7 linked regions of the Canis lupus familiaris genome follow. The protein of the gene in region 7 binds, or shares a complex with, the protein of the main gene of each other region. Links are inferred from orthologs where the notes say so. Each region holds a gene or a part of one and is shown on either strand. Other genes may lie near its edges.

Region 1 (4,012 bases), on a different chromosome or scaffold from region 7:
GTCAAAATCTTATGGCTGGGGCAGCCCTGGTGGCCCAGTGGTTTAGCGCTGCCTTCAGCCCTGGGCATGATCCTGGAGACCCGGGATCGAGTCCCACGTCGGCCTTCCGGCATGGAGCCTGCTTCTCCCTCTGCCTGTGTCTCTGCCTCTGTTTCTCAAATAAATAAATAAAATCTTTAATTAAAAAAAAATCTTATGGCTCATATTGTCGATTGAACCGCGGTGAGGACCCTGGATAGTTTTTCCGAAGGATCAGCTCTTGGCCCCCTCAAGCATCTATGTAGTTAGGATCTCAGCTGCATTATCTAAAAGCTATTTCTAGGTTGCCTTCAAAATAGAGGCATGGCCTGCTGGATTCCGCTCTGACCACAAACCTCACACTACCTTTTGGCGCTGCATTGTGATCCTTTTAGGGCCTCCTGAAGAACTTGGCTGTTGACCAGGGTACAAAAAAAAAAAAAAAAAAAATTCCTTCTGCCATGTTCAAAATACTGGTTAGAGGTGAAAGCATTCAATTAAGTGATAAGCCACTATCATCTTTGGGGGGGGGGGTGGCACAGCTTCCCCTAAAACCGGTGGCCAAGCTTGTCCCCAGGATAAGCTAAGGAAATTCAGCAGAGAGAGCCACGTAGTAATTACCCTTTACCCCTGGAAGAGCTGGGAGAGTTGTGTCCCGTGTCTGCGCCATCCTGCTGTGGAGTAGAGAGAAAGCAACAAAGTTCGGAGCCGCAGGGAGCCGGCCTGGCCTTCCAGCGCCACGTCCAGGAGCACAGCCACGTTCCTCTTTTGCGTTTTCCTGCGACGGAAGGTGTGCTGTGACTGGCCGGATTCAGGTGTGAACCACAGTGCGGATTAACGGAGGACACGCGAGCCGGTAACGACTTTAAGCCCACTTTTCTGAAAAACCTTCTTTCCCACAATCGTTACCACCGGAAACGGCTACGATTCTGGGCCCTGAACACGCCGCGCGCCCACTTGGCCTTTGGAAAACTGCGCGGCACGCGTCGAGCGAGGACGAACGCCCGCCGGCCGGCGCCGTCCCCGCTTAGCCCCACCCCCGCCGGGGCCCCGCGTCCTTGCTATTGGTTCCCGTCCCTGCGCCGTCGGTTGCCGTGGAGACCGAGCTATGGCAACCAGGAGAAGCCAAACTTGGTCCTCCCTCGCGAACCGCGCAGGGCTCCCCGGCGAGCGGCCGGAATCCGCGAGGCGGTCATGGCGCTCTACGAGCTCTTCTCCCACCCGGTGGAGCGCGGCTACCGCGCGGGGCTCTGCTCCAAGGCCGCGCTGTTCCTGCTGCTGGCCGCCGCGCTCACGTACATCCCGCCCCTGCTGGTGGCCTTCCGGAGCCACGGTGAGCTGCTCGCGGCCGCTGCGCGCACAGCTCCCCGCGGCCGGCTGCGCCCGCGCCCGCCTTCCTGACCTGCTGTCCACCGCCCTCTCCACCGCAGGGTTGTGGCTGAAGCGGAGCAGTTACGAGGAGCAGCCGACCGTGCGCTTCCAGCACCAGGTGCTGTTCGTGGCCTTACTGGGACCCGAGCGAGGCGGGTTCCTCGCCTGGAGCACCTTCCCCGCCTTCAACCGGCTGCAGGGGGGTCACCTGCGCGTCCCGCTGGTTTCGGTGCGTGGTTCCCGCCCGGGGCCTAGAGGGCCCCCGGGACTGGGCGGGGGGGGACGGGGGAGCGGGGAGAGGGCGACCAGCTCCGGCCGTGGGAAGCCCAGCGTGGGTGTTAGGGGTCCCTGAACCCACGGAGGTTGTGTACAGAGACGCGTGGGCTTGGGCGTGGATTTCATTCCCGGGAAGTGACTCTCTTGTTTCACTCGACTTCCCCAAGCCGTCCACAGCCCCCAAGAATGTTAGCCCCTGCTGTCACCATGTGTCCCACAGAAGCCTGGGGATAGCCTGTCTCTGGCCCTCTTCATTTCCGTGGGCCTGGCCTGATGAATGCGTGGTCGCGAAACTTTCTTCAGGAGTCACGAAGGCCGAGTGGTGTTCTTATTAATTACCCCAATTTTTCGGTGCAGTTGTGCATCGGAGCAGCGGCTGGTTGGACAGGCATTTTTATGCAGACCTAACACGTGGAAGAGGCGCTGATTGGTTCATCGATCTACCCAGAATGTGCTTGGATCCCAGTCCCGCCTCTCTGAGCTTGTAGAATTAGATGCTGCTCATCTTGCAGTTGTCCAGGATGAAAAGGAGGCGTTTTACTGTCTTTAATTTAGAATTTGGTTCAGGATGAGTGAGTACTTCCTTTGCAATCATTACCTTTCTGCTCATTTCTGAAAACATTTTCCTCTAGAAGTATGAAAATTCTACTTTTTCTTCTTCCAAAGCTGAATCTCTTTGCATATCTCAGAAATGATTGATCTACAAGCCAACTTGTGTAGCTGAAAAAAAATTCAGACTTTTTTTAGTAATTAAGTGAAAAAAAATTTTTTTAAGATTTTATTTATTCATGAGAGACACAGAGAGAGGCAGAGACACAGGCAGAGGAAGAAGCAGGCTGCCTGCAGGGAGCCCAGTGCCCACTCGATCCCAGGACCCTGGGATCATGACCTGAGCCAAAGGCAGACACTCAGTCACCAAACCACCCAGGTGCTCCGAAAAATTTTTTTTTACATCTGATTGGTCATATGAATAACTACAAACAAAATACAGTTCAGATTACTTTTTTCCTGATTTTTCTGATTATAAAAATGCATATAAAATATATAATACCTAAATGTAAAATATTAAAGACTTACAGGTATATATAATGACATAAAATTAAAGTTTGAGTTTGATATATGTACATTTATTAATTCTTTGAAAGATCTGCATAAAATTTTCATTATAGGGAAAAAGTAATGGATTTAACTAGTTCCCTGTTGGTGGGTTCATGATGGGCTTTTACTATTTTCTTTCTTTTTTTTGTTAAGATTTCATTTATTTATTCATGAGAGACACACAGAGAGAGAGGTAGAGACATATAGGAAGAGGGAGAAGCAGGCTCCATGCAGACAGACTGATGTGGGTACTCCATCCCAAAACTCCAGGATCATGCCCTCAGCCAAAGGCACACGCTCAACCTCTGAGCCACCCAGGCATCCCAGGATTTTACTTTTTTCACTATTAAGGAGCATACTGCAGTGAACAAGATTCTACTTTATTTTACTTAGAGACACAGGCAGAGGGAGAAGCAGGCTTCATGCAGGGAACCCAACGTGAGACTCAATTCCGGGTCTCCAGGATCATGCCCTGGGCTCAAGGTGGTGCTAAACCACTGAGCCACCCGGGCTGCTCTGGATCAGACCTTTTAAAATGATTTTAAAAAGTAAAACTGGAATAGGAGACAAATTTGCCTCAATAACTCCTCTCTAATCATGATCTGTTGCCCATTTTCATTCTTGAGATGATAATGCCTGTGGGGAAGTGTGACTACGGAGAGAGGCTGTGTCAAGGTATGCTTTTCACGGTATACTCACTGTATTTCTGGTGTTCTGCATGCATGGGTTTCCTTTCCAAAAGTGGAAGCAAAGGTTTTCTTTATTCCAAACAAAAGATGTACTTTATTATTATTATTTTAAATTTTTAAAATTTATTTAATTTATTATTTTTTAGAGAGAGAGAGTGCAAGCAGAGCGGGGTGGTGCAGAGGGAGGGAGGTGGAAGAAAGATAATCTTAAGCAGGCTCCACACTGGGAGGAGGTTGCTTCCACAACCCTGAGATCATGACCTGAGCTGAAATCAAGAGTCTGATGCTCAACCAACTGAGCCATCCAAGCGCCCCTTGTTAGTTTTCCTTAGGTTAGCATTACCAGTCTTTTAAGTTTTTGTTAGAATTTTTTGGTTTTTTTTTTTTTTCATTACATTTGAGTATTCCTCTCTATCATACTCTCAGGTTACTTGAGTCTAAGTGTGCCCTCTCTCTCTCTCTCTCTCTCTCTCAAATAAATAAATAAAATGAAAACTTAAAGTAATCGTGAAAGCAAGGAGAGAGCATTAGGGTTCATTCATTTGTTCATCCACTACAAC
Region 2 (4,209 bases), on a different chromosome or scaffold from region 7:
TTTTCAGCCCTGAGGCACACCCACCCTCTTCTATACCTGGGAACTTGAGACCAAGGTGTCTCTGGCTCAACTTCCTTGGAGATGTAGCCTCCAGTCTCCTGAGGGGGTGAGGGAGAAAAAGGGAGAGTAAGGAGGATGGACATATTTCTCAGGCTGTGAGGGGTAAGGGAAGTTCCTGAGGATCTTGCCCCTCCATATACAACCTTTCATATCTTCTTGCATTTTCAGCCCCCACCTGCCTTGATATCTGACTGTATTCACTTCCTGGGGAGGCCATAACAAAGGACCACCTACATGGTGAGAAATGTATTGTCTCACGATTGTGGAAACAAGAGGTAAGAAATCAGGTATTAAGAAATAAAGTATATTATATATAATATAATATAAAAGAAAAAAGAAATCAAGTATTGGCAGGATTAGTTCCCTCTGAGGGCTGTGAGGGAGAATGTGTTCCAGGCCTCTCTCCCAGCTGCTGGTGGCTTCAGACCTTCCTTGGCTTGTAGATGCTGTTTTCTCTGGGCCTTCACATCATCTTCTCCATGTGCATGTCTGTCTCTGTCTCCAAATCTTCCCTTTTTATAAGGACACATTCAGATTGGATTAGGCCACCCTAATGACCTCTTTATAAATTGACTGCCTCTGTAAAGACCCTTCTCTCTTCAAATAAGGTCACATTTTGAGGTCCTGGGGGCTAGGATTCCAGCATATCTTTTTTTGGAGGGGCACAATGCAGCCCATCACACTACTACTGAGCCAAATCCTGGCCTTCTCTGGAATCCTGCAGAATGAATGGGCTCATTTTCACATTCTTATGCCTCTCTGCTTCCTCCGTGCCACACAGATACACACACACACACACACACACACACACAACACACACACACACACACACACACACATACACAGCCTGGAGTGTGGATTTCCTTGGTCTCTTCATTCCATTACTCTTCCATCTGCTTTGCTTCTTCTCCCATTACCTTTGCTTTTTTGAGCCCTACCATTTATATCCTCTTTCAGCGATTTCAGTGGGATTCAAAGAATAAGCAAGGATTAATCCTGAGCATTCAGCCTCCACATTTAACTGGAAAACACTCCTGCACCACACTCGCTGGTGGCCAGCAGCACTACCACAGGACCTTTCTGCACATAAGCCAGACCTGTAATGGGGACCTTTCACGATTTTAAACCACCTCCCTCTGAGCGTGACCTGCCTTTTGCCAGAAATGCCCAGTGACTCTGATGACAAGAAGGAGGGTGTGGCTCCTAAAGCTTCCCCTAATTTCTGATCAGCTGCCCCAAGCCCATTCCTTCTTGTCTTTTTCCTGCCGGCTCCCCTCTGGAAGTGACCTGTCACTTTAAAAGAAAAAAAAAGTCACTGAGTGACCTCCCTTAGGAACGTGTTGCTAAGCGGGTGTTTTTGCTCCCAGACGGCTCTGCAGCCTCCCAGGGAGCAGCCCGGGAGCCGCCCCAACATCCAGCCTTTTTGGATTCTTTTAGAAGATTCAACAGTAAGACTCTTCTCTCTCCACTTTCCTTTCGTCCCAGAAAGCGGAATCTGCAAAGTGCTTTGTAAAGTTCCTTAAGGTAATCCTGTCTTACCGGGAGCAGGGCTGCAGCAGTGGTGTCCTGCCTTCAGTGACCCGGCCTTGGAGCTCAGCTCCCCTCGGCACCCTGAGCGGATTTAATGAATTGTAAGTGTAAGGGTTCCCATCACTATGATTCAGGTTTTGCTTTCTGGAATTGACTCCCTAGAGCATTACTCGGGCTGCTCTGATTTAAGCGGCTGTCTGGTGTCTGGTTTGCAGGAAATGGAAGTCTGGCTCATCACTGCCCCTGGGTGGAATTCCTCCCAGATGGTCATTCTGCTTCCTTCCTGGGACTTTTCGTGCCATCTTGTTGCATTTCAGTCTCCGTCCCAGAAACATTTGCTGCCTGTTGCATTTCTGAGCCTTTCAGTTCAAATTGGTTCAAGGGCAAAGTGCTAGCTAGCTATCGCCACCTCATTCTGCTTGGCATTAGACAGAGAAACAGCCATTGCGGACAAAGGGAAGAAGATCACCATTCCAAAAGACCACAAGAAAATCTGCTAGCTGTTTTACTTATACTACTAGTTGGCCTTCGTTGCAGAGAGGCACTATGGAAAGCTAATAAAGTCTAATGGGAAATACATGTCTGTTATTGGATTTTCATATAACCTCTTCTGCAAATAAATTCAGCTCCAGAATAAAATATCTCTCTATGCCTATGTCCTAGAGCTCATTTAAAGAGTCGTTCACGCCAACACATATCCAGCATGAACGATGCACCAGCAACGTGCTGGAGTTCAGAGTGTACAGAAAAGCATTAGACCAGATCAGAAGCTCAGAGTTCACTCGGAAGACAGACCTATGAACAGACTCTAACAGTACAATGAGCTAAGCGCCATCAGATATTTATAAAAGAGTCGAACGTGCTTGGAGCACAGCTGACTACTCCCAGGGAGGACCTGGGAGCCCTTAGTTCATCATGTAAATGCACGGGGCATATACCACAGAGTGCAGCGCAAGTATGGCATTTATATGTAGTCTTCTAGGGCAATGTGTGTTATATCAAGCTGATTAAATAATTCTATAAAGCGATATGTCACTAACTTTATACAAAGGGAAGCTGTGGCTGGATTACCTTGTAGAAGTAGATACGGAATTTAGAAGGGGGGTGTGTGGCATCTGCCAGGTTTCCAGGCTCCTAGCCTAACAGTCTAGGCCAGAAAAAGCTTAGCACAGTACACAGAGAGGAAATGCCCATGGGTGTGTGGGGCCGGGGTGAGGGCTGCTTCAGAAGCACCAGAGAGAAAGAAAACTGCCTTGGGCCTAGCTAGGAGAAGGGAAAGAGAGGAATTTGAGTTTGGGAGCTCAGAAGTTGAAGGTGGGGAGGGTGGGAGCTGAAGATGGTAATGGGGGACTTGAATATCACCTAGAGTCTTTCTTATGATTTCCCTTCTGTCCTCTAAGCTCTTTTTCCGTCCTCACTCCTTTCTTCTACTTCCCCTCTCTAATAGCACCTTGTTTTAATAATAGCACTTAACCAATATCGAGAGCCTGGTCTGTGCTAGGCATTTTACCCACACACTCTATCACCTAGCTCTTCTAGAGTAATCACTCTTAGAGGTAAAAATTATCATCATAAGTTTACAGGAGAAGAAATGTATCTCAGAGAGGTGAAGGCATGGCCTCGAGACTACATAGCTGATAATAGAACTAGAATTGGAACCCAGGTCTCACTATTTCTATACACCCAAGTTCTCACTGTTTTAGAATAGGACTCTCATAGTGTATTATTTTTTAAGCAGCCCAAGTTGAGATGCCATGCATCTCGTATCATATACCTTCATTCTTTTCCCTACATTCTGTAGAAGTTGTCACAGAGTCCTCTGGATATGACTGAGCTACTCATGACCCTCAGAGTCCATTTGTTTGGATAGAGGTATCAGTATTTCCTAGAAAAATGTCTTTGGATTTCTGCATTAAGTTAAATAAATCATTGACCTGAAGTAGCCAAAGCCTTTTCTCAGTGGGGCAAGACTCTGTAAGTTTTCAATTTTACGAATTTCTAGGACAGTGAACTAGCATAGGTGAGTCATTGATATCATCACAAAAGCAGGAATAAACAGTGAGAAAGAGAGATAGAGCAGCCTGGGGAAGACTGAAATCACCAAGTCATGGGGTCACATTCTGAATGTGACATTTAATGACCATGACTTTGGACAAATCCTGTGACCTGCCAGAAGCCAACCTCAGAGGAAGCCTTGGTACCTCACATGTAAACTGAGGCATGTACAACCGAGCTGGAAGTACTGTTGTAAGGTCGGGGGGATCATACATCCAGAGATAGCACAAAGTAAGTCTGCAGTAAATTGTGCCTCTTATTTTGATGTTGCCAATAGGAATATATTAACAAGTGCTCAATGCATTTGGCGATGACAAGCTGCATATTAAAGTCAGGCAGTATTGATTTATCTTTTCTTAGGAACTGTGCTCACGAAAAAATAAATTTTGATGTCATTTGATTTCCTGAGAAACTCATTCAAGGTAATGATCAGGAAAGAATGAGGAGAAAAAAATCATCTCTGTTCCATTTTTCATTTTTACTTCTGTATCTTTCCTATATAACTTTTTTTTTAATTTATTGAGAAGGAATCTTTCTGTCCTAAAATACATCACAGTTCTTTTT
Region 3 (4,098 bases), on a different chromosome or scaffold from region 7:
GGCCTGTCCCATCCTCAACCCCCCTGCTCCATCTCCAGCCACTCTCATCCCTGCTCATGCTCTTCACTGGCTACACAGGCCTCCTCCCTGTGCCTTGGGCATGCTGGGCACGCCAGGCACGTTCCCACCTCAGGGCCTGTGCACCTCTGCCCTTTCTTGTTGTTGTTGTTGTTGTTGTTTTTTACCTCTGCCCTTTCTGCCTGCACAGTTCTCCCTACGGACCTCCGTGTGGCTTGTTCCCTTCCTGCCTTCACCCTTTACCCAAAGTTACCATCTCAGGGAGGCCTTCCCTGGCCACCTTACCTAGACTCCAGCTTCTCTCTACCCTCCATTCCTCCCTTCCTGACTTTACTCTGTCCCCGGCACTTTTTCCTAGAACATATTAGAACATCAGTACTTATTGTCTACCTCGCCCCACGAAACTGGGACTCTGGCCTGGCTGTCTGTGGAGACAGATTGCTCTGAGGCCGGTCTTGCAAGCAGAGCTTCTATTCGGCCTCTTGACTTCCCAGAGTCCTCCTCATGGGCTAGGAGAGGGACAGAGGACCTACCGCCCAGATACTTCCAGGCTGGCCCTCAGGGGTCTGTGCCGCCCACACGTTCCTCTTTGCTGCCAAGTGCAAGTTCCCAGGACAGGGTGTGTGAGCGACCGCAGCTTTGATCAGGAGCCTGAAGGTGGCTGCTCCACCTTCTCTGCTCCAGCTTTACCAGGAACAAAGTCATGTTTGGAACCCCCTGAGCTCGGTGTCTACCTCTCAACAGTTTCTGAACTGGAAGACGAAGGGGTATGGTGGACATCGACACCTTCAGAAACCCCATTAAGCATGGAGGCTGTGAGGGAGGGAGGCCCAAGAGCCCAGCTTACCGCCGTGGGGGCCCAGTCCTGGCCGTACACAAAGCAGTACTTGCAGTAGAGATCATCATACTCAGGAAACTGTAGGAAGAAGCACACACAGGTTCTGTTTACAGGGATTGTGGAGGGGGAGGCACCGCGGTGGCTAGCTAAGGGCAGCCAATAGGGATGCTGACACTGGGTGCCTGGGGTAGAGTCTAAGAGACAGCCGGGGATGGGGACACGGAGTTCAGTGGAAGGGTTGGGGCCTGAGATGTGGGAGTCCAAGGGACAGTCCCAGGCTGCAACCACCCTTGAGCCTTTGCCCAGGCTCCACCTTGTCTGACATGCCCTTCCCATTCCTTTTTTTTTTTTTTTTTTAAGATTTTACTTATTTATTCATGACAGACACAGAGAGAGAGAGAGGCAAAGACACAGGCAGAGGGAGAGGCAGGCTCCATGCAGGGAGCCCAACGTGGGACTCAATCCCAGGTCTCCAGGATCATGCCCTGGGCCGAAGGCAGCGCTAAACCGCTGAGCCACCGGGGCTGCCCTGCCCGTCCCATTCCTCCATCTGGCAAACTCCCTTTCATCCTTCAAAACGTTCTAAGGTCCACCCCACCCCCAGCTCTGTCAGGCCCTGGTCCTTCCCTCCACCAAAGCTTTGATACCTCCTTTATTTCTGTCAACCCTGTTTGACTGTGAAGAGGGAACAAGTGCAATGACCTTTCTGTGTCCCCCAGAGCCTGGCACAAGGGGGCACAGAAGAGATCTAGGGAACATTGCCGAAGTGAAAGGATGCTATCAGGACATGAAGTATACACAGGGCTGGAGCTCAAGGCCTGGAGAGAGGGAGGAACCCAGAACTGAGCAGGAGGCACAGTGGGAGTGGCATGGGTGCTGACAGAGCAGAGAGGCATGATCCAGCCCAGCCAAGGGCCCCTAATGGGACAGAACAGAAGAAGGGAAGGCAGTCTTGGACGCTAGGCCAGGGGCAGGTGGACAGGGTGGGAACACGGGAGCATTATCCCGATGAAACAGGGAGGCAAGAGAGACCTAGTAAGAGGTCCTGGCAGAGCTCTGCCCAAACCATCTCACTTAATCCCCACAATACAATAAATACCATCTTCCAACAGCCTGGAAGGGTAACGAACCAAAGTTTTGGTGTCAGGCAACCTGGGTTCAAATTTCAGCTTTGCCACTCCCTTTGGGCAAGTGTCCCCATCTGTAGAATGGGGATGCTAGTAACACCCACTTCCCAGGGTTGTGGTGAGGGCCGAATGCGCAGTGCTGGGCACCGAGTCCGGCACGTGGCGAATTCGTGGTGCACTTATATGCATGTGAATACGACAAATGGGTCTCCCCAAGTGTAGGCGATGGGGAGCAGCGTCCGCGTCGGTCAGACCCGACAGACCCTCCCCGGACCTCTCCACCACCCCCGTCGTTGGCGCACATTCACCAGGTCGCCTCCATCCTAACCCAAATGCAAGGACCTCAGGGTTCAGAGTGCAGAGCGCTGGGGGGCCGGGGCCCAGCAACCCGGGCGAGTCTCCGCTCCTCCCCTTACACCCGCTAGGCTCCTGCCCGGGACTCCACGGAGCGGACACGAGCAGAACCAGGGCTCACAGGCCTGGTCTCTCAGACGCTGGTTCCCGTCCCCCGCCTGACCCGACAGACGCGCCTCTCCGGGGCCACGCAGCAGCCCGGGAGGTGGCGGGACGGGCCCCCGCGGGTGGCTGGGGGGAGGGCGGGCGGGGGTCCCCGGCCGCTCACCTGGGCGCTCTCCACCTGCCCGTTGACCATGAGTAGGAAGACGCTGGGGCCCGCGGCCGCCATGGCAGGGCTGGGGGCGCAGGAAACGACCCCCGCGGCGCGCGGGGCTGCTAAGAGGTGCCGGGTTGCCCTGGAAACCGACGGCGTGGCGCGTGGGACACATTTCGTGGGAAGGCACCTTCGCGAAAGAAAGCACGGGTGCGGCAGTGCGCAAGCGCAGCCGGCGGTTGGGGGCGGGGCGGGGCGGGGGGCGGAGCTGGAACGGTCCGCCCGCGGTGTAGAAGCTAGCCGCGCCGCTGCTCGGGTCACACCCGCAGGGCGGAGGCGCGCCCTGCCTCCCGCCGGCCGGAAGCCAAGTGGGGCCGATGCCCTCCGCCGCGAGGTGGCGCTGTGGCGCTACCGGGGGGACGGCGGCGGGGACGCGCGGAGGGGAGCCTGCGCGGTGCAGCTGGATCGCCGCCGCGAGTGGAGGTGACGCGCGCGAAGGCCGCGAGTCGGGCCGGGGCTGGGCCGCCCGGGTTCTGCGGAGTCCCCGGTTGGGGACTGCGGCGGGTCCCCTGGGGCTTTGAGGCCCCTGCCCCCCACCAAAAGTGTATTAAACAAACTGGGGAGGGCCTCAAACAACCGAGTTACGGCTCCTCGGTGTGAAAGGGGGAAACGGAGGCCCACGGAGGAGCAGCACCTGGCATCCCAGTCTTCCAGCCGTCGGAGGAAGACTGAGCCAGAACCCACGGCACTGCCCGGTTAACCCCCTGGCCGCCCCGAGTGGTCATAGCTTCGGTTAACACATCGATCCGGTTCGTCTTAGCACACACTGTGGTTTGTATTTGCACGTTGATCACTATCCTGACTCCCCTCTCTAGGCAGCCCGCTGTTCCATGAGCCCAGCGGCCACGCGGATCTTGAGTTCTAGTTCCCTGGCACATAGAAGCCCTGGTAACAGTGCTGCATGAATGAATACTTGAATACATGGCCACTACTCAGAGAGGAAGCAGATTCCCAGGGGAGGTGGCTGGGCCACAGTCACAGCAGCAGGTAAGTCGCCGAATCAGCATTCACATCCAGGACTAAACAGGCTAAAGAGCCTCACTGCCTCCTCTGTCTGGTCCCAGGCCAGGTTGTCAAAGTGGCATTAGAGACCTTATCTCTGATCCAGGAAGGGATGCACAGGTGTGTAGACTTCCAGGAGGCCATGCCCCCAGCAGGGACCCCAGGGGGTGGTCCCACCGTAGCCAGCTGCTAGCTTGGAAGCAGACCAGGGGGGCTCCCTTCAGACACCTGTGCAGGAGAGGGAGGGAAGAGTCAAGGCCAGCCTGGACCACTGACCTCTTCCGGAATGCTGAGCAAGGATAACTGATTAGGGGAGGGGGCTGTGGGTAGTCTGATGGGAGATGCTGCGGCTGAGGAGGCCAGATGGGTGGGGTCCCCACCGCAACAACACAGCTCAGAGTGTAGGTCTGCTCTCCAGGGACTTGGTCATACTCCCTTCCCCC
Region 4 (3,113 bases), on a different chromosome or scaffold from region 7:
AGGAAAATTGGAGAGAATACTTTTTAATGTAGCTACAACTGTCTCTCAGTAAAATACATTACTTATAAAGGCACATTTCCCTGTAGGAAAGAAGAAAATATTATATCTCTTAACACAATCCAATAATAAAAATAATGTTCAGATATACCCATGCAGCTTTGTTCTTAACAGAACTTCCCTAAATAGATTTCTCCTATTAGCGAGGGAACGTGCTCATTTAAGATCATGACTATTGTCCCTTTGCTCATCTCAGCTCTGTGTACTATTAACAAGCACCCTGCTTTTCAAATCAAGCCGGGTGTGAATTTACTGGCTATGAGTTTTTCAGTGAACAATGATCTAGTAGATGAGGTGAAAAGGGTTAATGTGCCTAGCCCAGTGCCCACTACATAAAAGGCTAACCCTGTATATATGTTTCTCTTTCCCTTGCAACTCTGTAATAAAAATAATAAACCCACAGCCCAAAAGAATTATACAAGACAGGAATAATTTGTTGCAAATACTTTAACATAAATATTTCATAATTTATTATAAAGACATTTTGCACATCATGACTATAAATACTGAACATGGTTTTATGAAAATTACAATTTTATGATTTCCCAAATACCATGATAATCCACCGGTTTTTAACTTCAGTATAAAAGCTAGGAGTAGGGTTAGAATTTAACCCTAGCAGACATGAAAAATCGGTATCTAGATTTACAAATATATAATACATCAGAATACTGACAAGAATTGCCATGTGCTTCAGACGTACTGCCAAGGCATGAATAGCCAACAAGTTTAACAGAAATATACACATTTCTAGTTTTAGGTGCTACCTAGAAATATTCCCGTAAAGCTCGTAAACTGTGACTACTAACACAGACTTCTACACACCTGAAAAGTCAACAAGAATATTAAGAAATCTGGTGCCAAATGGACACTATTTAGGCTTTAGGGTTGACTCACTGCTTTCATGTACTATACAGTCTTATTACCCCCAACTTTGCAATTTCAAAGCTAAAGAATATATAGTTCAAAACACTAGCTTTGTTCTCCTCATGCTAGAACTCTGATATTTTCCTCTTGTGGAAAAGCTGACCTTTCAGCTTTTCACTCAACAGCACTGGGTCAAATCTCTTCTATACAAGATCTCATTCTTCTCACGCCTCCTCTATATGCAGAGAGCCGGTCAAAGTCTTGGAGGTGGAAACGAGTCGCCAACTGATTTACCATTTTCCTCAGGGTAAGAAAGGCTGAAACAACTTGGAAAGTAAGGAACAAAGTAAAGATGATGTGTATCGCTTTTTCCAAGGGCAGATTTGTTAGGCCCTCATTAAAGAGCAAGAAGAGAATTAAAGGCAGCTGCAATAGGAGGCTCAAAAGCCAAAAGCCAGCCAACTCAGGAACCTGCAATGACACACAGTAAGAGTAATCACATCAGTAGAGGACAGTCTTTTGTTTATACGGATCAGCACTCTGAAACCTACATTATGAGCTCTGTAATTCAAAAGGAGTATAACATGGTCCCTGTCCTCAAAGGATTTACAGTCTTGATTAAAGGTGAAAACTAACTGATGTGGCAATGCTAGAACAACATACCTTGGTGAATAATGAAATGCACCACTTAGAGGTATGAACTAAATACTACAAGAAATAAGACAAGAGACTACTTAGGGTAGGTAAAAGAAAGAACCCAAGGACGTAAGCTTTTAGGGTTGGGTAGAAGGAAGAAGAGGCTTAAGAAGGTAAGTAAGCAAAGATGTGGAATGAGCACAACTAGGAATCAACATGTCAGCCTGGAATGGATGCTTGGGTTAGGAAACAGCAAGAAATACAGTGAGGCCTGTGGGTGGGACCTGGAAAACCAGAGAAATCTTTAGGCAGCATCCCTAAACTCTGGTAGCTGTGGATGCTTATGCAGCATGACGATTCAGAAAGCATGTGCCTGGCACAGGATTCCTGAATCTAGACATGTTTAATTGACCAAGTATTTTCAACAATGGTGAGAAGAGGGGAAATTGTCAATTCTTAAGTATTTACTATGTTCAGGTACTTTATATAAATTATTTCACTTAATCCCAACAAACGGTGGAGTAAATATTTTCTCCATTTTATATACAAAGAAACCAAGGCTCAAGAGATTCAGCAAACCGACTACAGTGACAGAAACAGTAAAGCTGCAGGCAGGCCTTTGCTCCTTTTACCACATCTCTCTGCCTTTTCCTTGCTATGAAAACCATACTGCCTTTATATGTAGCACTGAGCAAAGGAAAGAAGAGCCTACCTTTTCCTGTAGGTTCCCCATGTAGCCCAGATACAACCTGATACCTTCAATTAAGGTTATTAGGATGATAACAGTGACCACAATAAATTTGTAGTAATCAGGCAAGATTGAATACTAAAAAACAAAGCAAAACACAAAAATTAGCATGTCTGTAAAAATCTCATAGATAGTAAAACTGACCTGGGATAGAAAACAGATATTAAGAACTGTAATTTATTGACAATGTAACAATGCCAGGGAGGGGCAGGAAAGATCTCAGCAGAAGTATTAAAAGCATAGACTTACCTTCATCTGAAGCATCATAACGCTGCTTATCCACCAAAGTGGGAAAAAGTAAGTGTTAAAATAAAGTGACATCTGCAACGCCAAACTAGATACCATTTCATTATCTACAAAAGAAAGAGAAAAAGAACAAACTCTTAATCCTGGTCAATGCCCTAGAGGTCCTTTCGTTTCTTAAAGTTAGTAACTACGGGGTTGGTTCAACAAAGCTCCAAATTTTAAGCCTATTTATAATTGCTGATGGTGAAAAGAAATATTCATCATAATACTATTTAATACTATTTAGTTCTTGGGGATGTGTTATATAGTTTTCAATTACTTTATCATTTTGCCATTACAGCCTGTTGACTTTTTTGTACATTACCGGTATAGATTAAATGTGGAATATTAATATGAATCCTGTTGAACAGATAAAGATCGTTACCTCCTTTATAGAGTTCTATGTAAATAGAGGCTATAAAATGAACATGTAAAATACATAAACACTAATCTCACAAACGAACCTCATACAAAAACTAATCCCTCTAAATTACAGACACACCCCTCTTCAGCATACCCT
Region 5 (3,500 bases), on a different chromosome or scaffold from region 7:
GTATTAAATGAGTATTTTTGAAAGATTAATGCTTAATGTTAAGAAAGCTCTGGGTTGGTAGCATGTAAAATTTGGGTTTTCTGTTTTAGAAAAGTAAATGAAATTACAGTTAGCGCTGAATTACCGATGGGAGGACTTTTCACACTATGCTTTGTATCCTATTTGGCATCTTCCAAGTACCTGGTAACATCAACATCTACCGGGCACACTCACCCAACTTTTTTTGTTTTTGTTTTTACCCAACTTTTGGTTGGTATGTACTCAGAAATTGGAGACTCATTTTAAAGATTTATTTATTTATTTGAGAGAGAGTGAGCGAGAACAGGGGGAGGGGGCTCAGAGAGAGGGAGAAATTCCAGGAGACTCCGTGCTGAGTCACCCAGGTGCCCGTACACACTCATTTAATGTTAGCATAAATAAACCCATTTCTGAAGGATAACATGCTGCTAAAATCTTGGAACAAACCAAGGCGTGGTAGGAATCTTCTTTGGCTTGTTTGTACCACTGCTCCCCTCCCCAACACATATAATTGTGAGATGGCTTTACCTCTTAGATTCAGGTCCCAGATGAGGTTTCAGAAGGAAGACTTGCCTTCAGTACCTGATCCCATGTGGCCCTGACCAGTTGGGTCACAGGGCACTGCTCTCTTTTCCTAGCACTGTCAGAAAATGACCACTGCAGCCCGGGAGGTACCATCATTTTTGGTTGAACGAATGGCCAATGTCAGGCGACGACGGCAGGACAGGCGAGGGATGTAAGTGCAAATGAGCACGGGGGCTGGGTGGAGGGGCCTTTGTAGTCCTTCTAGGCCAGTGTCTGGGTATGTCTACCAACTCGAGCTCCCCGTCCTGCATAGGCCTCGCCCCTGGCATGCTCTCCCAAGTGCGGGCTTCAGGCTCTTCAGGGGGTGCCTGGGAATTGACACTTCCTGTGGTGCCTTTCAGGGAAGGCGGCATCCTCAAGTCACGAATTGTCACCTGGGAACCCTCAGAAGAGTTTGTCAGGAACAACCATGTCATCAACACCCCTCTTCAGACAATGTACATCATGGCAGACCTTGGGCCGTATGGAAAGTGAGAGAAGTCCCTCACCACCCAGCTCAGATCCTCCTCTTTTCTCTCTATCCATCACCTATCCTGTTATAGTCACCTTGGGGTATGTAGGAGGGGGGGACTTTTTCTTTTTCTTCTTGATTGTGCTTAGAAGAAGGTATTTGACTATGATAATTCTCACTACAGCCTCTGTCCTCTCCCCTGGCATGGGCCGACTACCTCCTCCTCTCTGGTTGATGGGACCAGCGGTCCTGAACCTAGGTGTTGATTTCCTGGTTTCTAGACTTGGCTATAAGAAGTATGAACATGTCCTCTGTACTCTGAAGGTGGACAGCAATGGTGTGATCACAGTAAAACCTGATTTCACTGGCCTCAAAGGACCCTACAGGTGAGGAGAAGAAAAAACCGGGAGTGGGGACTGGCATTCATTCCTTCCCTTGGCTTCACTCCCCCTAGTTAAGGGGATTCTGAGAAAATCCTTCATCTGCCCTGATTTCTAAATTCCCAGCCAATAGTTCATATTCTGTCTTATAATAAATCCTTAAGATCCTGGGGACTCTGTTCTAGGAAAGTGTGCAGCTATACCAGTTTGAAAGGGCTGACTTCAATGGTGTAATTAAGTGAAAATAATTCTCTGTGCTGCTGCCTGTAGGACCAGCCAGAACAGGATGGGGTGAGCTCAGACAGATCGCTTCCTCTGGGCCTGACTATTCCTACCTCTATGTCTTACAATAAGAGAACTATACGTTAGAAATGATCAAGGTGAGAGAACTGGGTACCAGGATGTTGTGCTTTAGGGTTTCCCCATGACTTTGAGGCAGAAATGGGCCCCAAACCTATGCTGTGTGTCCACTTTAATGCCCCTTCTGCTTTTCCGCTTTGTTTCCCTCGCCTGCTCATCATTCTGGCCACTTTCATCCTCGTTTGCTTCAAGTGAGGCGTATGGCCAATGATGGGTCATCCCTGAGCTAGGTCTGGAGAGACACATTTCTTCTTACCATAGTTGGTCTTTTTGTGTGACTTTGACCCTACAGAATTGAGACTGAGGGGGAGAAGCAGGAGGTGTGGAAGTATACAGTGGACAATGCATCCTCCCTCGCACAGCCAGAGGAGGAAGAGCGGGAACAGCGTGTGTTCAAGGATGTAAGAGCGAGTTCATTCCAAGTGCAGGGATGAGCCTTGGTGCCTGAGAGCTGAAATCATGTTCGGGGTCAATGTTCATAGTTGCAGGGTCTTTCTTACTGGTCCTCTCCTGACATAGGAAGCATTGCTGACATATCAAGAACTTTTGATCATACTATAACATAATAATAATAACAATGACCATTTGTTTGAGTACTTACCGTGCTCTGCGAGGCCCTTCACATACTTTTTCATTGAGACTATACAACAACCCTCTGAGGCGAATGCTTTTATTATTACCATTTTTATAAACGAGGAAACTGAGATTGAAAAGCTAAGAAATCTGCCCAAGGTCATGGGGCTTGTAAGTGCAAGAGCCAAGGCTGGGTCCCAGACCAGCAGACTCCAGAGGCTCTGTACTTCACTTTAAAATGTCAGTGGCTTAGATGCTTCAGCTTCCAGTTGTCTGTGGCATTTCCCATTACAGCTTCTTTTCTCCCTCTCATTCAGAACTGACCCTGGTCTGGTTAGGGTTGCATTTTGAGTTTGAATATGGTTTGTTTCCTCAGCTTTATGGCCGGCACAAGGAGTATCTCAGCAGCCTTGTGGGCACGGACTTTGAGATGGTGAGTGGCCTGGCATCCCGCAGCACCATGAGCTGGGATTAGCCAGAGCATTTAGAATGTGGCTGAGTAATAGCATCTCTTTTAAAGGACATATTCTCTATGCCAGAAGGAAATCAGAGAATAGCATATAGAACAGAGTTCTTGTTATGTGTTACAAAATAAAGCAGAGGTGCCTGGGTGACTCAGTCAGTTAAGCATCTGATTCTTGATTTTGGGTCAGGTTATGATCTCAGGGTCATAAGATCAAGCCCCATGTCAGGCTCTGTGCTCAACATAGAGTCTGCTTGAGATCCTTTCCCTCAACCCCTTCCTCCCACCCCCCTTCAGAGAGCTTTCGCGGGCTCTCTCTCTCTAAAAAAGTAAAATAAAATAAAATATGGTATATTAAAAAAGAACGGTTAATGAAAAAGAAGATGTCAGTGAAAAAAGTCTAGAAGGGTACACACATGCTATGGGTGGCTTTCTCTGGGGTGGGGATAGGGGTGGGAAGGTAGATGGGTGTTGGGTAGTGAGAGGGATATGTCAGGGATGTTTACTTTTTATTCCCTAAACTTAGTGGTTTTAAAATTTTACCATTGGTAATGCATTCACATATTACTTTATAATTAATTTTTAAGATTAATAGAGGGGATCCCTGGGTGGCTCAGCGGTTTAGCACCTGCCTTTGGCCCAGGGCGCAATCCTGGAGTCCCGGGATCGA
Region 6 (4,005 bases), on a different chromosome or scaffold from region 7:
ACCAACTAACTCCCCCCCATTTATGATTTTGAGGTGGTGACTGACTACTCGTGTGGTCCCATTTTGCTAGAAATAGGAACATGAGGCTCCTTCGGTCCTGGTCTGGGCTGGAGGAATAGGGACAGACTAGGGGTTCAAGTGGATTTTGAGGGTGGAGGATACACTGCTCAGGTAATCAGTGCCTCTGACTCAGTCACTCTACTTGCACCCATTGCACGGATGAGATAATTGAGACCTGGAGCTGCGCAGAGAGTCACATGACACGTTACTGGCTGAGTCCAGCCTCCAAGAACTAGGTTTTCTGCAGATAAAGGGGCCTCGGTTCCTCATTTCTCATACCCCTTCCCCCACGCTCCCCATCCTTGCTCAGAATCAGTAACAGCGAACTGGGCGGCCTTCCGGAGAGGGAAGTTGCATTTATCAGTACTCGGGGAGCCAAGGGAAACTCTAAAAAAAGGAAGGAAAACCCCCTCCCAAGCTTGAGTCTCTCTGAGGGAGGAAGGATTTTTTTTTTCATGATAAGGCGGGGGGGCGGGGGGGAAGCACGCCATGACCTCAGGGAGCTTCCCCCTTGCTCCTGGCTCAAGCGTCTGATCTCGGTCCCGGCTGGGAGAGTCTTAGCATGGCCAGATGCGCGCGCTTATTTTGTGCGGAAGGCGTCCGGGATTAGCAGTTGGCGCGCAGGCTTCCTCAGCCACACTCAAGATGGCAGCGGCCCGACCACGCCCCACATGGCGGAACCACGAGTCGCGCTGGGAGAGCCACTCTTCCCAAAATGGAGAGAGAGGGGAGAGAAAACGCCCATCACACCTTAGCCCCGCCCTCGCTCCCTGCTCGGGCCAATTAACGGCCCGCAAGGCGGGTGCCAGGCTAGGAGGAGGCTGTGGTTGCCCCAGCAACAACCAGGGAGCCCGAAGGCGGGCGCAGCCTCGGAGGGACCGGCGCCTCGGGTGTCTCGCTGCCAGGAAGCTCGTGGGAGAGGCGCGAGCCAAGCCTAGGAAGTCGGCGTCCGCCGACAGAGGGACAGGTTAGGCGCATGAACTGCACCCCACGCTGCTGCTTCGCCCCACCTAACCGTTAGGTGCTCTGAGGTAGGAATAACGCATGCGCGGGCTTGGGGGCGGGGCTCAGGCGGCCCTGCACTTAAGACGCATGCGCCTCGCGGCGCTCGGACGCGAGGAGGCGGGGCTTTGCGCCTGTGGGCGGGGCCTCAGGGTCTTGGGGCGGGGTTTTCCGCCGCGCTGAGCCAAAGGAAGAAGTTATCTCAGAGGCGGGTAGTTAGTTAGAAGCCAGCTCCTCGCCCAGCTCTCGGCCCGCCCCCCTCATTTTTCCGGGGCTCTCTTGGGGAGGCGGTCAGGATCGTGGTTAGGACTGCAAGCTCAGTAGTTTGACGAAACTAGCCGGGAATGCTAGTGCTACGCCTTACTTGGTAGGCCTCAGTTTCCTCATCTGTCAAGTTGGCGATGATAGTACACACTTCACAGGGCTGTGATTATTTTTCTCTCAGGGCCATGGCTGAGGTGCACGTCATCGGGCAGATCATGGGGGCCACCGGTTTCTCGGAAAGTAGCCTCTTCTGCAAGTGGGGCGTCCACACAGGTATTCCCGGGCCTGGCTCATTTCCCCTCCCCGAGTTTCTGCCCTTCTTCTTTGACCTGCCCTGGCCTAGTCCCTGATCCGCATCTTCCATTGGCTCCCAGGACTCCTAGCCACGACCATACTCTGACGGTGTGACTCTCACATTGTTCTTCCCATCCCTTCCCTCTGGGGGCTCTGGCACCCATCTCTGAACCCGTAGCCCCTGAAGATGGGGCTAGACGCCCCCCCCCCCCCCACACACACTCCCAATCCTCAAAACACTAGGCTGCTTAACCCCACTGGACTTGGTCTTAGGGGTGCGCTGGGTCCCTCCCCTACTCTGCTTTCTTTGCTTTATTGAGTTCCGACTATAAAGTGGACCTCCATCCCCGCTGTACAGAGAAGAGGCCACCCTCCTGTATTCATAATTCTCTGTGAGGATGTAGGAGCCCCTTGGATCAGCTATCCACGTTCATTCACACAGGCCCAGGAGGGACTTCAGAGGCCCCCGTTTTCAGGGCTTCCCATCAGAGGCAGTATAGTAGCCAGTGTAACAAGTAGGGCCATGGGCCACCAGATCTGGGCTCAAATACTAACTCCCTCACTTATTGATTGGTGGCCTTTGGCCTTGACCTCTCTGCTTTCTTCTCTAAAAATGAAGCTAATAGCAGCTAAGAGGCAACATAGTGTTGAGGTTAAGAGCGGACTGAGTGTTAAATTAAACTGCGTATTAATTTTGTGGCCTTGGGCGCTCATCTTTGCCTTGATTTCCTTATCTGTACAATGGGAATAATAACAGCGCTTACATCATGAGGTTGTCCTGAGGACTAAATGAAAATCAGGAGCACTGAGAAGAGGGCCTGGCCCAGTTAAGTGTTTGCCTGGCTTATGTAAAAGCCGAATGGACTTCTGTTAGTAAAGCCTCGAGTGTGCTGCCTAGCGTAGAGTAAATGCTCACGAAGTGAGTGGCTGTTGCCATCATCCTCTCTGGAGGGCCTGGGCCCTTTGCAGTTTCACTGGCAGGTAGGATGTTGGCTGAGATTCCCAGGGAAAGGGGGTTCCTGCAGCTCAGCACATAAGAGGCAGGCTCCGGAGTCAGACTTGGTTTCCAGTCTGGACCCCACCACTCACCTGCTCTGTGACCCTGGCCAGGTGCTGCCCCCTCTTGGAGTCTCATTTTTCCTCATCTGTAAAGTGGGAAAGTGGGAATCTTTGTCTTTCAGAGGGGTGTTGGGAAATCTCGTATGTGAAGAGCCTGGTACTTTCCTGGCCCAGAAGGGAGGGATAACTGACATGATTTTTATTATTTTAGGGGGTTTCTTAGTGGGGGGGGACAGTTAATCCAGCAGCAAGCTCAGGGGCATCCACATAAAGGGCTTGGACCCTGCAGTCGAGATCACAGTTTGAGTCCAGCACCACCACGGGATGTTGGGCAGCTGCATTCCTGCTGTGCTCCAGCCTGGATGACCGTGCTTGCACACAGAGGCATTCACTAGGTGTTCATGGAATAAGTGGCCAAGTGACTTTCCTTCTCAGAGTCTGTTTTTTTTTACCCGTAAAATGGGGATTCTATTAACACCCACCTCCTAGGAGCACTTATTTGTCCAACAAACACTTATTGAGCACCTTCTGTGTACGAAGATCAGAGTTTGAGGTCCCGGGGACCCAGCAGTGTAGAAGAGGCATGCTCTCCTGGGGCTCCCAGTAGAGGAGACAAAATTTTTTTTAAAAAGCAGGTAAGGAAATGAGCACAGGGATCACTGACAGTGGTCACTATGGGAAGAAATGAGAGGAGATGACGTGATAGGGACTAGTGTTCGGATAGGAGGGTGGGGGGGGCACCCCTCTGTGAGAGTGGCACACTTGGGCCGATCCCTGAAGGAAAAAAACAGGCACATCCAGGAGCCGAGCTTTCTGGGCAGAAGCCAGAGGTGGTGCAAAGGCCCTGAGGAAGAGGAACAGAAATCAGGCCAGTGAGGCTAGAGGGTAGTGAGGGATGGGGAGAGTGGTGAGAGATGAGTTCAGGAAGGGGGCACAGGAGGCCACACCAAGCAGGGCCTTGTGGGCTTGGGGGGGGGGGAGTCTAAACTGGGGGGTGGGGTGGGGATTAAGAGACCCAGAGGGCAGATTAAATGAATTCATGGCTAAAGCGCTTAGCACAGCGTCTGGCTTTTGCTATTATTGTCACCCCCAGGACTATTGCTATTACTATGTGCCTTTCACCATGTGCTCAAGCTCCTGAAGGCCACCCTGGGCCCCATTTTAGTCCTTGGACGAGGCCTCTAATGTGGGGTGAGAAGAGTGACAAAATGCCATCCAACGCTTATCCAGTACTCACTGTGCCCCAGACACTGTTCTGAGGGCTTTCTGTGTATTGGCTCATTTAATCCTTTCACAAAACTATGAGGGATGCGTTATTATACCCAT
Region 7 (4,267 bases):
ATTAATTTGCCTAAAAGCCAATATCTACATCATGTCTAAATTCGGAAAGGGCAATTGACTTTAGTCCTAGAGACCCATAGATGAGAAAACCGTAAGATGAGGATGCTATTCCAAGAAGTCTTATTTTTCTTTCTTCCCTAAGTCTTAAGACTTCCAGTCAGCCGTGCTGCCCCTGTATGTCTATCTTCTACATTATTCTCTAATGTTCCCCATCCCCACACCATCCGTCTACTCCCCCAATCTCTTTCTTAAATATAAAACCAAGTATGTACATCAAAGTATTTGTAGCTCTTTTTAACTTAGTGATTATCTTCAAAACAAAAAAACAAAAAAACAAAAAAGAAAAAAATTAAACCCAACCTCCCTCCCCCCCCCCCAAAAAATCCCACCAAAGAAAATTAAGTCATTTTTAATGGTACATGAACTTGGATTTGATCTTATGTTGTGTTTTTTCTTTTTGAGAAAAAAAATTCCCCAAACTTGCTGTACAGAGATGGAGGATAAGCAAGTGGCAAACATTTTGAGAACTGCCTGTATCACTACACAGACAGACAGACACACACACACAACTAGAAGAAATCTGATATTTGTCTGGGCCCGGAGGTGGGGGTGGGGGTGGGGGTGGGGGCGGGGCATCTCTGCGCCCTACAAGGGCGGTGCACGGGATGCGCCTCTGCACCCCGTCCCCTCTATTCATGCCCAAAGCGGGGTTTACACAATTTTAACGGGTGTAGGATTCCAAACTGAATGACAGTTAACTTGGCTTCCCATACGCCACACAAGAAACCAAAGTCACGCAATAAACAAGATACAAGAGTAAGAAGTTAAAGAACCAAATACCCAGTCGGTAAGTGCCTGGTAGGGGTCCGCTCTGGGTGCCTACTACGTCCCTGCAGTACAGGGGTCTCTAGTTTGTTCAGAGATCCGTCGGAAGAAGCCGTGTCTGGAGAATCTGACAGCGTTCCACAGAAGTCCCCCCCCCCCTTTTTTAAATATTTTATTTATTTGTTCATGAGAGACACAGAGAGAGAGAGAGAGAGGCAGAGACACAGGCAGAGGGAGAAGCAGGCTCCTCGCAGGGAGCCCGATGCGGGACTCGATCCCGCATCCCCAGGATCACGCCCTGGGCTGAAGGCGGCGCTAAACCGCTGAGCCACCCAGGAATCCCCAAAGTCCTCCTTTTCAAAGGAGTTTTAATCCGTCTTTGGCCCTTCCAGACCTCTCCTGGTTCAGCGACTAGAAGTTCCCGGCTCCTCCGGGCAGCCTTGGCCTTGCCAATCGTCGGTTCCTGGTACCCAGAGCCTGTTCTGACCTCCGCGGGGTCCTTCTCGCGCACCGCCCTCGGGCCCCTCCGGGTTCCCCGCGCCCCGCCCGCTCCGGGTCCAGCCCCGCCCCCTCCGGGTCCAGCCCCGCCCCCCTGACGCGAACGCGCTGCGGGGCGGGGCTTGGCGCCCCGCAGGCAGGCGGAGGTCCGGCCCAGGAGCTGCGGCCCAGCGAGACCCTGGGGAGCCCCCCTCTCGCAGGCCCCGGAGGCCGGGTCGCGGGGAGCCAGGCGCGGGCCGCCGGCGGTTGCGCCGAGGGAGCCCCGAGGGGGAGCGCCATGAGGGCGGACTCGGGGCTTCGGCCGGAGGCCCACCCGGTGAGCGGTGAGGGGCGCTGCGGCCACGGGGCGTGGCGGAGGCGGGGGGTGCAGCCCGATCGCCTCCGCGGCTCCTGGGGCGGGGCCGCCGCCTAGGGCTGGGGCCGCCGAGGGCCGCCGAGGGCCGCCGAGAGCCCCGCTCGCCGTGCACGCGCGTCCGCCCCTCGGATGCTCACAGGATTGGACCGGAGCGGGCGATGCAAGTTCGTCCCGAGGCCGGGAGCCGAACCCCGGGAGCCAGGCGAGGACCCGGGCGTGCCGATGCCCGGGCCTGAGTGGCCACGTTGCTGTGACGACGCCTCTCTGCTTAGCCTTCCGGGCCCCTGGGTGCCCCGGGGCTGCCAGCTAGGCCTCTCCTGCGGACTCCTCCCGGAGGGCCTCTAGCCACCCAGGGAGGAGACCGCAGTTTCCTGGCGGAGACCATTGATCATGGTCTTTCCCCACCGCCCTCGAACAAATCCCTGCAACCACTCGGAAACCATGAGCAGAACCGTGGTTGTTGCCCCACGCCCGCTGGAGTCTCTCTTCCCGGGCATGTCAGCCCCCCACGCCCACGGCCCCCTTTCCGCAGGGCTGCACTGCAAAGGCCCGACCGGCCCCCGCCCCCCCCCCCCGCCGCGTCCTGCAGGGAACCGGCTGAGTGTCCGCCAGGCCCGGGCGGCGCAGGCCGATGACGCACGGCGCCTGCGCGCGGCGGCCCGGGCGGGAGCCAGCCGGGGACAATAGCGAGCCGGCCGGGGGGCGGGGCGGGGCGGGGCGGGAGCCGGCCGGGGGGCGGGGCGGGAGCGGACTGCGAGCTCCCGGCTGCGAGCTCCCGGCGCGCGGCCGCGGGGAAGCCCGGCGTTGGACGCCATGGGAAAGAAGCAGGTGGTAAGCCAGCCTCGGTTCCGTTTGAGTCTCTGGGATTTTGTGTCCGGTGGAGCCCTCCGACTCTTGAGGAGCCGGAAGGTCGGCGGTGACACGTCATTTTCGCGGGAGTTTTGAAAACGTGCAAGCGTCGTGTGACCCGAAGCCTTGGGCAGGACGCGATCCGTAGCCGCCTGACGGTGGCTCTTTCCTGGACTATTGCTCTTTCCCGGTGGTGAGGTTCATCACTGGATAGTGTTGAGACAGCCTGCTGTGTCCTGATCTCGTAGCATTTGTATTAATACGCTGACCGCATGGATCGCTAAATGGGACGGTCGTAGAACCAACGAAAAAGAAAAAGTGTCTAAAAATGTAAACCCTTTTGAATCAGTGTCCCCTGCAAGCAGCATGAGACACTTGCAACATTAAACTGATTTCGAGACATTGCTGATAGTATTTTATTTTGAAAGATTCCAGAATGCGTCTCAACTGTAATCTCTCTGAATGGCAAACACAACTTTTCTTACCATTTGTTAAGTTTTTTGTTTTTTTTTTAATTTATTTTTTAGGGACGCCCGGGTGGCTCAGCGGTTTAGCGCCGCCTTCAGCCCAGGGCGTGACCCTGGAGACCGGGGATCGAGTCCCACGTCGGGCTCCCTGCGTGGAGCCTGCTTCTCCCTCTGCCTGTGTCTCTGCCTCTCTCTGTGTCTCACAAATAAATAAATAAAATTTTTAAAAATGAATTTATTTTTATAAGGTTTTTTTTTTTTTAATTCTCTCTGCCCCAAAATGCAGTCTCATACTGTATTCAGAGTGATTTTATCTTATTTTTTTTTTAAGTATGTTGCTATGTGGTTTAAAACCTCCCTTGGCTTCCCACTGAATTAAAATAAAACCTGGACACCTTTTTGTCTTTTTTTTTTTTAAGATTTTATTTATTCATGAGACACACAGAGAGGCAGAGACACAAGCAAAGGGAGAAGTAGGTTCCATGCAGGGGGCCCGAGGTGGGACTGGATCCCAGGCCTTCAGGATCAGGCCCTGGACTGAAGGCGGTGCTAAACCCCTGAGCCACCCGGACTGCCCCCTTTTTGTCTAAAAAGAGCCTAATTAATTAATCTGGCCCCTGCCTGTCTTGATAACTATGCTACAGCCCTACCCGGCTTGCTTCTTTTATCTGAAACCGTTTCTCCTAAAAGGCTTTGTATTTGCTCCCCTTTATCTCTTTTCTTCTTTCTTGTTCAGGTCTCAGCTCGGAAGTCTGAGAGACTTTCTGTAACTAAAATAGCACTCCACATTCTCCCTCATTTGTGTGTGTGTGATCTTCTAATACTTAACCACTAGAATGGAAGTTCCATAAAAGCAGGGATTTCTGTTTTGTTCTTTAGTGCATCTGTAGTACTTAGAACAGAGCCTGGCCTCTGGATAGAAAGGAGTATAGGAAGGAAGGAATTTTATATGAAATTTAGAAATGTTAGAACAATTTTAGAATTGCCCATCTGATTCTCAAGAGTACTTCCTCTGTTGCATTTGATAAACAAGGTTATCAAAAGATTTGAAGTACATGAAATGAAGATGTTCTGAGACTTTTACTTACAAGCGATTTTCTTTTTCTCCCCATAGCGTCCTCCACGAGCCCTTCCACCTGTGCCAAGGTAAACATAAGTTAGAGATTGTATCATTGAGTTTTAAAAATGCAAAATGAATAAAGTGAAAAAGTCAACTAGTTCCATTGCAAAATTATAATAATTCAGAGATGATCTCTTGAAAATTTTAGGAAAA

Evidence for each region.
Region 1: TMEM237 (region 7) and TMEM231 share a complex: the UniProt entries of both Homo sapiens proteins name them as parts of the tectonic-like complex. The link is inferred for Canis lupus familiaris from reciprocal best matches to the Homo sapiens genes TMEM237 and TMEM231.
Region 2: TMEM237 (region 7) and CC2D2A share a complex: the UniProt entries of both Homo sapiens proteins name them as parts of the tectonic-like complex. The link is inferred for Canis lupus familiaris from reciprocal best matches to the Homo sapiens genes TMEM237 and CC2D2A.
Region 3: TMEM237 (region 7) and B9D1 share a complex: the UniProt entries of both Homo sapiens proteins name them as parts of the tectonic-like complex. The link is inferred for Canis lupus familiaris from reciprocal best matches to the Homo sapiens genes TMEM237 and B9D1.
Region 4: TMEM237 (region 7) and TMEM17 share a complex: the UniProt entries of both Homo sapiens proteins name them as parts of the tectonic-like complex. The link is inferred for Canis lupus familiaris from reciprocal best matches to the Homo sapiens genes TMEM237 and TMEM17.
Region 5: TMEM237 (region 7) and MKS1 share a complex: the UniProt entries of both Homo sapiens proteins name them as parts of the tectonic-like complex. The link is inferred for Canis lupus familiaris from reciprocal best matches to the Homo sapiens genes TMEM237 and MKS1.
Region 6: TMEM237 (region 7) and B9D2 share a complex: the UniProt entries of both Homo sapiens proteins name them as parts of the tectonic-like complex. The link is inferred for Canis lupus familiaris from reciprocal best matches to the Homo sapiens genes TMEM237 and B9D2.

What each region holds. Positions count from the first base shown.
Region 1 is NC_049226.1:75,821,463-75,825,474, forward strand, and holds the start of TMEM231 (transmembrane protein 231), read left to right. Parts: upstream 1-1,212; coding exon 1,213-1,351; intron 1,352-1,448; coding exon 1,449-1,618; intron 1,619-4,012. UniProt on the Homo sapiens protein: Transmembrane component of the tectonic-like complex, a complex localized at the transition zone of primary cilia and acting as a barrier that prevents diffusion of transmembrane proteins between the cilia and plasma membranes.
Region 2 is NC_049224.1:65,396,170-65,400,378, reverse strand, and holds the start of CC2D2A (coiled-coil and C2 domain-containing protein 2A), read left to right. Parts: upstream 1-1,409; 5' UTR 1,410-1,691; intron 1,692-4,209. UniProt on the Homo sapiens protein: Component of the tectonic-like complex, a complex localized at the transition zone of primary cilia and acting as a barrier that prevents diffusion of transmembrane proteins between the cilia and plasma membranes.
Region 3 is NC_049226.1:41,067,626-41,071,723, reverse strand, and holds the start of B9D1 (B9 domain-containing protein 1), read right to left. Parts: upstream 2,801-4,098; 5' UTR 2,669-2,800; coding exon 2,606-2,668; intron 935-2,605; coding exon 866-934; intron 1-865. UniProt on the Homo sapiens protein: Component of the tectonic-like complex, a complex localized at the transition zone of primary cilia and acting as a barrier that prevents diffusion of transmembrane proteins between the cilia and plasma membranes.
Region 4 is NC_049231.1:63,645,677-63,648,789, forward strand, and holds the end of TMEM17 (transmembrane protein 17), read right to left. Parts: intron 2,662-3,113; coding exon 2,558-2,661; intron 2,387-2,557; coding exon 2,273-2,386; intron 1,396-2,272; coding exon 1,117-1,395; 3' UTR 501-1,116; downstream 1-500. UniProt on the Homo sapiens protein: Transmembrane component of the tectonic-like complex, a complex localized at the transition zone of primary cilia and acting as a barrier that prevents diffusion of transmembrane proteins between the cilia and plasma membranes.
Region 5 is NC_049230.1:32,842,118-32,845,617, reverse strand, and holds part of MKS1 (Meckel syndrome type 1 protein), read left to right. Parts: intron 1-656; coding exon 657-754; intron 755-944; coding exon 945-1,073; intron 1,074-1,238; coding exon of another isoform or gene 1,239-1,335; coding exon 1,336-1,440; intron 1,441-2,086; coding exon 2,087-2,195; intron 2,196-2,743; coding exon 2,744-2,800; intron 2,801-3,500. UniProt on the Homo sapiens protein: Component of the tectonic-like complex, a complex localized at the transition zone of primary cilia and acting as a barrier that prevents diffusion of transmembrane proteins between the cilia and plasma membranes.
Region 6 is NC_049222.1:113,405,958-113,409,962, forward strand, and holds the start of B9D2 (B9 domain-containing protein 2), read left to right. Parts: upstream 1-1,205; 5' UTR 1,206-1,406; coding exon 1,407-1,429; intron 1,430-1,507; coding exon 1,508-1,599; intron 1,600-4,005. UniProt on the Homo sapiens protein: Component of the tectonic-like complex, a complex localized at the transition zone of primary cilia and acting as a barrier that prevents diffusion of transmembrane proteins between the cilia and plasma membranes.
Region 7 is NC_049258.1:10,565,182-10,569,448, reverse strand, and holds the start of TMEM237 (transmembrane protein 237), read left to right. Parts: upstream 1-1,467; 5' UTR 1,468-1,600; coding exon 1,601-1,639; intron 1,640-2,409; exon of another isoform or gene 2,410-2,491; coding exon of another isoform or gene 2,492-2,509; intron 2,510-4,108; coding exon 4,109-4,140; intron 4,141-4,267. UniProt on the Homo sapiens protein: Component of the transition zone in primary cilia. Required for ciliogenesis.